2 linked regions of the Sus scrofa genome follow. The protein of the gene in region 1 purifies or fractionates together with the protein of each later gene. This does not show direct contact. Links are inferred from orthologs where the notes say so. Each region holds a gene or a part of one and is shown on either strand. Other genes may lie near its edges.

Region 1 (4,093 bases):
AAGGGAGTGGTTAAGGGGGAAGGAAGGGCTTCAAATTAGTGGGGCAGAGGGATCAAGAAAACTCACCAACCTGGTCATACCGGGTGGGGTGGGGGTGTAAAATGGAAGTGGAGGAGGGCGGCAATGGGGAAAAGCGGACCTTATCAGTGTGCAGACGGCTGGGAGGAGAGGTTAGCGAGGGACAAAGAGGCCGGGACAGGAAGGTTTAGGCGAGGGAAGAGAAAGTAAAGCACGCCCGGCATGGAGGAAGACTTAGGAGGAGTTAGGAAGGGTGTAGTAGTGTGAGAGTGTGTGTCATTAGGTTTACAAGCAGTGGGAAGCCATAGAAAGGAGAGAAGACATACTCTGCCTGTTGGCAGGTTTGGGAGAAGAGGTGCAGAGTGTGTGTGTGTGTGTGGTGTGTGTGTGTGTGTGTGTCGGGCAGGGTGGGGTTGGTTTCGGAGAAAAAGGAAGCAATAGGAGGGGACCCTGGCATCCTACAGTTGCTACTAACAACCAGGTACCCTTAGCAACCAGGACCGCGGCATCTTAAGTCCCTAGCAACGAGGGTCCTTGGCAACTAAGGTGCGAGAAACATGTGATCATTAGTAACTTGGGGGAAGTGGCAAACGGACCCTTAAAACCTAGCGACCCAGAAAGCCACCAATCTAGCAATATGGATCACTTGGCAACTGCCCCCGGAATCCCATTTTCCCCCCCATGCAACCCCCATCTCCTGCCCCACCAAGCCTGCCCTCGGGCCCCGGGGCCTACGACCCTCAGCTAGGCCCCGGTGCAGCCCTGCCCTCCCACCGGGGTCCCCGACTCACGATCCGGCTCGGCCATGGGCGCGGGGCGGGGGCCCTCGGGACTGTCACCGACTGCTCTGTCCCGTGACGGCACCGGAAACAGGAGGGGGCCGAGACAAGGCAGAGAACTACAACTCCCAGCAGCCATCGCGATCGCATATAATGCTCTGCACCGCGTACGGAGCGCGCCCCCACGCAAAGGCCGGACTACGAGTCCCAGAGGGCTCCACGTCCACAGCCATGCTGGTAAAGGACTCCGGGAAAGTGTGGGAAAAGGTAGAACGCCGTAGTCCACCTGAGTGCTCTGATTGGTCATCATGTGGCATGGGGGCGGGGCGTGTACTACTTAGCCCACCCTGATTGGATGAGTCAGGGGGGCGTGTTGGGGAATTCCCCGCAGGGCGGAAGCTCGAGAATTCCAGGCAGAGCCCAGCGACAGGCGGGCTGCCGCTGGGGGCCCCTGAGGCTTCGGGGGCCATGGCTGGGGTTGCGTGCTTGGGGAAAGCTGCGGACACCGATGAATGGTGCGACAGCGGCTTGGGCTCTCTGGGTCCGGACGCAGCGGCCCCCGGAGGACCAGGCCTAGGCGCGGAGCTGGGTCCGGGACTATCGTGGGCGCCCCTCGTCTTCGGCTACGTCACTGAGGATGGCGACACGTGAGTGAACCTTAGACTGACAAATCGGGCCCCAGGGTCCCACATCTCCAATCCTGACTTCCCAACCTTTCAATCCTAAATCTGTCTTTTGATGCTTGACTTCCTGACCCCAAGACTGGCCTCTGATAAAACCAACTTCTTATCTAATTTTGATCCTAACCCAATAATGTCTGGCCTTCCTTTCTTGAACTGATTCTCAGAGTTATGCGTTCATTGATCAGACCCACATTCAGTGATCGATTCCACATCCAAAACTCGATTTGACCTTCCTGACCCCAGTCCTTAGCCCTCTGTTAGAACTGTAGTTCAGACAGGCTCCTCCTGACCTTTATCCTCCAAATATGATCTTTGGTCCTCAGCGCCTAACTTACATGAGCCTTAGATTTTATTTCGAAATTAATACTTGGCTTTTGACTCCAGGATCCCACCTTCTGAACTCTGATCTTCAAAGCTTACATTCAAAGAGAAAATGGAAACTACATAACAGCAGGAATTCATCTATTAAACAAATAATCCAACACCTTCGACTTTCCAGGAACTGTTTTAGGTGTGGCCTAAAGGCAGGGAGGAAAGCCCAAAAAACATTTGTCTTGTGGAGCATACATTCTAGTGGGGGTATATAGACAGAAGGGCAGATAGACTGACAGGGAGGGAGGAAGGGTAGGAGGAAGAAAAAGGAAAGAAAAGGAGAGAGAAGGAAAGAGAAAAAAAGATACACAGACCTAAAGTAAGAAAGGGAGAGAAAGAAGAAAGGCAGGAAGAAACGAAGACAAAAATTAAAAAAAAAAAGAAAAATAGCATGTCAGACGTTAAGAAGTTCTTTGGAGAAAAATAAAGCAGGGAAGTGAGACAAGTAGATTATCTGGGGAGAACATTGCACATAGAGGGAAAAACAGTTGTAAAGGCCCAATTGAGGGAATGTACCTGGGGTTTTTGAGTATCGTGTTTACCGCTGTATCCCCAGTGACCCAGCAGCCCCTGACCCATAGGAGGCACTCAGGAAACAGTGATCTTCTCAAACAACCAGCTGTGGTTTCATTTATTTTCTCTTTTTCTCTCTTTTTGCTTTCTATTTTGTTGATCTCTGTTCTGACTTATTTACTTTCTTCTCTTATTTGGGGTTTAATTTCTTCTTTTTCTCGTTTTTTAAGATGGAAGCTGAGGTCATTGATTTGAGACTCTTTTTTTTTTTTTTTTTTACGCATATAAGTGATTCATGCTGTAAATTTCCCGGAGTAGTGCTTTAGCAGTATCTCACCAATTCTGATGTGCTGTGTCGTTTTTTGTCATTTTGTTTTGTTTTGCTTTTAAGGCCTACCTGCGACATACGGAAGTTCCCAGGCTGGGGTCAAATCGAAGATGCAGCTGCCGGCCTACACCGCAGCCACCGCAATGTGGGATCTGAGCCCTATGTGCGACTTAGACCACAGCTTATGGCAGTGCCAGATCTTTAACCCAGTGATCCGGGCCAGGGATTGACCACATCCTCATGGATACTGGTTGTGTTCGTTAACCACTGAGTCACAACAGGAATTCCATGATGTGTAGTGTTTTTATTTAATGCAATATACTTTCTAATTTCTTTTTTGATTTCTTCTTTGGTCATCGGATTCTTCAGAAGTATGTTATTCAGTTTCCATATCACAGGCATCTTTCTTTCATTGGCTTTTAGTTTAATTCTGTTGGGGATGGAGAGCCTAGCATGACTTGAATCCTTTCAGACTTTTTGAGACTTGTTTTAGGGCCAAGAATATAATGTGTGCATTTGAAAGAATGTGTATTCTGCTCTGGTTGGGTGTAGTGTTCTCCGAGTGTCAGTGTTTCCCTGGTTCTTTTGTTGCTCAAGTCTAGATTTCTACTTGTTCTGTCAATTATTGAGAGCCGGGTATTGAAATCTTCAACAATAATTGTGGATTCGTGGCTTTCCTTGTTGTGCTATCAGATTTTGCTTTGTGTAATTTGATGCTCTATTATTAGGGGCACAAATATTTAGGATTATTAAGTCCTCTTGTTTCACTGACCTCTTTGTCGTTATGAAATAACCTTCTCTAGCCCTGGTAATGCTTCTTGCTCTGAAATCTACTCTGATATTAAAATACTTACTTCTGTTTTCTTTTGAATGACTGGTGTTACCATGGAATATCTTTTTATACCCTTTAATTTTAACCTATTTTAAAATTTATATTTCAAGAGTGTTACAGGCAGCATATAGTGGGTTTTGCTTTTTTTTTTTTTTTTTTGGCTGTGCCTGTGGAAGTTCCCGAGCCAGCAACTCAACTCGAGCCACAGCAGTGTGGCACAATGACAGTGCTGGATCCTGAATCTGCTGCACCACAAGAGAACTCGAGGTTTACTTTTTTATTCATTCTGACAGTTTCTGTCTTTTAATTGCAGTGTTTAGACTGTTTGCATTTAACTTAATTATTGAAATGGTTATGTTTATCTTGTTTTTAGCTTTTTTGCTTATCTCTTTTACCTTTTTCCTCTTTTTCTGCCTTTTAGAATGAGCAAATTTTGTTCCATTGTGTTTCTTTTGTTGGCTTATTAGCTCTAACTCTTTGTTTTTTATTTTCGTGGTTGCTCTGAAAGACCAATAGTTGGCAAACTGGTTTCCAGACAAAGTCCAGCCAGCTACCTGCTTTTGCATGG
Region 2 (3,649 bases), on another chromosome or scaffold:
GACGTGTATAAATTTGAAGACCGTATCCTTCTTGCGGGGGAAAAGTGCCGCCTCGTTTCCAAGTGGGGATCTGCACAGAGGAGTGGCATGGCTGGACTCTCTGAGGGTGTCCATGGTCCTGCAATGCTCCCGGAAGCTATCCCCAAACCCTTGTGGTTGCCCCAGTGCCGTTGCTGGGACGTCCTCACCAGCTGAAGGATCTGCTGTAGCACCAACCTCTTACTTAGCCTTTGAGATTCAAACCCATCCCTCAGCACAAAGCAGAATGCCCCCAGCTCAGCTCTGTGGGAAGGTCATTTTCTGTGAGGAGTCAAAATACAACTTTTAAGTTGGCCAGTGCTGAAAGTCCGGGGCAGACTGGTTTTGTAAATAGAAGGGTTGGAACGTAGAGTTTCCACACTTGTGGTTGTAGTTGGATGGAAAATGCCCGCAGTGGATCTGTGATAAGAGAAGGCAGAAAAGCCCAGACAGGGAATGAGTATTAGGGAGCACTGAGTCCCTGAGCTCTGCCCAGATATACGGTGTGATCGTTCCCTCTCTGAGCCTCAGTTTGCCAATTTCTTTTCTTTCTTTCTTTTTTTTTTTTTTTTTTTTTTTTTGTCTTTTGCCTTTTCTAGGACTGCCCCCTCGGCATATGGAGGTTCCCAGGCTAGGGGTCTAATTGGAGCTGCAGCCCGCCGGCCTACACCAGAGCCACAGCAACACGGGATCCGAGCCGTGTGTACGACCTACACCACAGCTCATGGCAACGCCAGATCCTTAACCCACTGAGCAAGGGCAGGGATTGAACCCGCAACTTCATGGCTCCTAGTCGGATTCATTAACCACTTTGCCACGACGGGAACTCCCCATGTTCGCCAATTTCTAAATAGGCCACTACAAGATGATCTAGCTAGTTGGATGTTTCCATCTCGGTCAGGTTGTTTTCTTGACCTATAACTGGTTCTTTCCCCTGCGGAGTATGACGCTCTTCAGAGCCCGTCTGAAGCTTTCAGGAACGTCACATCAGAACAAATACTGAAGATGATCGAAGAGAACAGGTACCCCACTTGGGTGGCTGGAGTGTCTGGGGAGTGATCTTGGGACACAACAGTAGTCAGACATGAAGCGGACCTTGGGTGTCGGTCAGTAAGGATGTATGCCTGTTCAGCATTTGAACACAAACGAGCTTGAATGTTTGGGCTTCCGGGCCTATTGTCGGTGTTCAAGGGGTGAGCTGCTTCGGTGTGGCTGGGCAGAGGGTGGTAAGGCTTGTAGCCTGGGTCTGGGTACTGGAGCTGACCTGTGTCCCTCCCCTAGTGTCATGCTGATGCAAATTGTTACAGGAGAGGCCCAGGTGCTGGCTTGGGAATAGGTGCCTGCAGAAGGGATGGTACATCTGTGGTGATGTGTTGCGTGAGCTTTTCTAAAGTTAAATTAGTGTATTTTAGGAGTTCCCGTCATGGCGCAGTGGTTAACGAATCCGACTAGGAACCATGAGGTTGTGGGTTCGGTCCCTGCCCTTGCTCAGTGGGTTAGGATCCGGCATTGCCGTGAGCTGTGGTGTAGGTTGCAGACGCGGCTCGGATCCCACGTTGCTGTGGCTCTGGCGTAGGCCAGTGGCTACAGCTCCGATTAGACCCCTAGCCTGGAAACCTCCATATGCCACTGGAGCGGCCCAAGAAATAGCAAAAAAGACCAAAAAAAAAAAAAAAAAAAAATAGTGTATTTTAAATAATTCAGAGATTATTTCCTTTCCTTCCCCTATTTTTGGCCTTTAAAGTAGCTTTTCTTGGGAGTTCCTTGGTGGCCTAGCAATTAAGGATTTGGCGTTGTCCCTGCTATGGCTCGGGTTAAGTCCCTGGCCTGGGAACCTCTACATGCCATGGGCATGGCCAAACCCCCCTCCCCCTAGCTTTTCTTTTATGATGATAGTGGCGGGTTTTTTAACTCAAATTTTCTTTCTGTAATTTCATCTTGAGGAAATAAAAAGTTGTCAGCCCTAGATTGGTTGCCCAGATTTTGGGGAATTTTGGTCAGTGAATCCAAAGTCTAGAAAAATACATTTTTTCCTTCTCTCCAAAGATCCATTGCCAAACAAGAGCTCATTACTGGTTCTTTATTGTCTTAATGTGATTGAGGCACAGGGGCAGGTGAGGGAAAGAGTTCTGGGTTGGAAGTCTGGGAAACTGAATCCCCAAGCTCTGCCCGATGGACTAGGTGATCTTCCCCTCTCTGAGCCTGTTTTCCTCTCTGTAAAATGAGGCTGATATGAGACAGTTTTTTTGTTTTGTTTTTGTTTTGTTTTTTTTTGCAATTTTTTTGTCTCTTTCGGGCTGTACCTACAACATATGGAGGTTCCAGGCTAGGGGTCAAATTAGAGCTGTAGCTCCAGCCTATGCCACAGCAATGTGGGATCCCAGCCGAGTCTGCAACCTACATCATAGCTCACGGCAACGCTGGATCCTTAACCCACTGAGCGAGGCCAGGGATTGAACCCACGTCCTCATGGATGCTAGTCGGGTTCCTTAACTGCTGAGCCACGACGGGAACACCATATTTTTTTTTAGTTTTGTTTAGGGCCGCACCCAAGGCACATGGAACTTCCCGGGATAGGGGTTGTATTGGAGCTGCAGCTGGCAGCCACAGCCACAGCAGTGCCAGATCCTTAACCCACCGAGCAAGGCCAGGGATCAAACTTGCATCCTCATGGATACTAGTCAGATTCCTTACCACTGAGCCACAGCGGGAACTCCCATGAGATGATTTGAAGGGCCTTTTTTTGCTGTGAGTCCAAGATCCTGATAGTGGTAGAACAGTACATAAAAATAATAGCCAGCATCAACTGAGCTCTTATGTGTGCCAAGCATTGTTTAATTTAATCCACAAAAATCCACGGGATGAGGGTACTATCATTGGCCTTAAGTTACAGAAGAAACCAAGGCACCGAGATGTTCAGAAACTTGCTCAAGGCACTGCATGGCGGAGGAGGGATTCAGGAGTCACCCAAGTAGTTGAGAGCCAGTGCTCCAGACTGCCACATGCAGATTGGAAAGATGACGGCCCACCACCAGTGCAGTTTTAATGGAAACAGCCTCAGTCATTCATTTATGTGTTACCGATGGCTGCCTTTGTACTACGGTGGGGGTGACCATATCGCCCCCAAAATGTAAAGTACCTACTATCTGGACCTTTACTGTCCCTGCACTGAATCATGCTCCTCCTCATCTAAGGAGCTGGTGGGATGGATGGCCCTCGCTCAGTTGCTGACTGTGTGTGTATACTCGCGAGGTGTGAGATGTGCCTGCTGTTTTCATTGCGAAGGAGTAAATGGCTCCTGACAGAGCCAGTTTCACGTGTTCTCCTTTTCCCTCCCTTGTTGCAGTCACTGCTCCTTTGTCATTGAAGCGCTGAAGTCTTTGCCATCAAATCAGGAGAGCCGAGACCGCCAGGCCCGGTGCATCTGGTTTCTGGACACCCTCATCAAGTTTCGGGCACAGAAAGTGATTAAGCGGAAAAGTAAGTCCAACATAGACTTTTTATTCTAGTTATTTCCAGTCTGTTACTTGTCTATAATTCTTAGATCAGCTCTAGTGAGAGAAGAAAATGGACATGTCTGTCCAGGTCTTTATTTTTTATTTTATTTTTTTAGGGCCACACCCATGGCATA

Evidence for each region.
Region 2: the proteins of NFKBIB (region 1) and POLR1E purify together in Homo sapiens (affinity purification with mass spectrometry; 3 studies listed by BioGRID and IntAct, counting the BioPlex papers as one, with this or other methods). This does not show direct contact. The link is inferred for Sus scrofa from reciprocal best matches to the Homo sapiens genes NFKBIB and POLR1E.

Annotation. Positions count from the first base shown.
Region 1 is NC_010448.4:47,702,476-47,706,568, forward strand, and holds the start of NFKBIB (NF-kappa-B inhibitor beta), read left to right. Parts: upstream 1-1,168; 5' UTR 1,169-1,265; coding exon 1,266-1,444; intron 1,445-4,093. Other genes in the region: SIRT2 (NAD-dependent protein deacetylase sirtuin-2), read right to left, coding at 810-825. UniProt on the Homo sapiens protein: Inhibits NF-kappa-B by complexing with and trapping it in the cytoplasm.
Region 2 is NC_010443.5:238,211,115-238,214,763, forward strand, and holds part of POLR1E (DNA-directed RNA polymerase I subunit RPA49), read left to right. Parts: coding exon 1-22; intron 23-943; coding exon 944-1,040; intron 1,041-3,364; coding exon 3,365-3,498; intron 3,499-3,649. UniProt on the Homo sapiens protein: Component of RNA polymerase I (Pol I), a DNA-dependent RNA polymerase which synthesizes ribosomal RNA precursors using the four ribonucleoside triphosphates as substrates.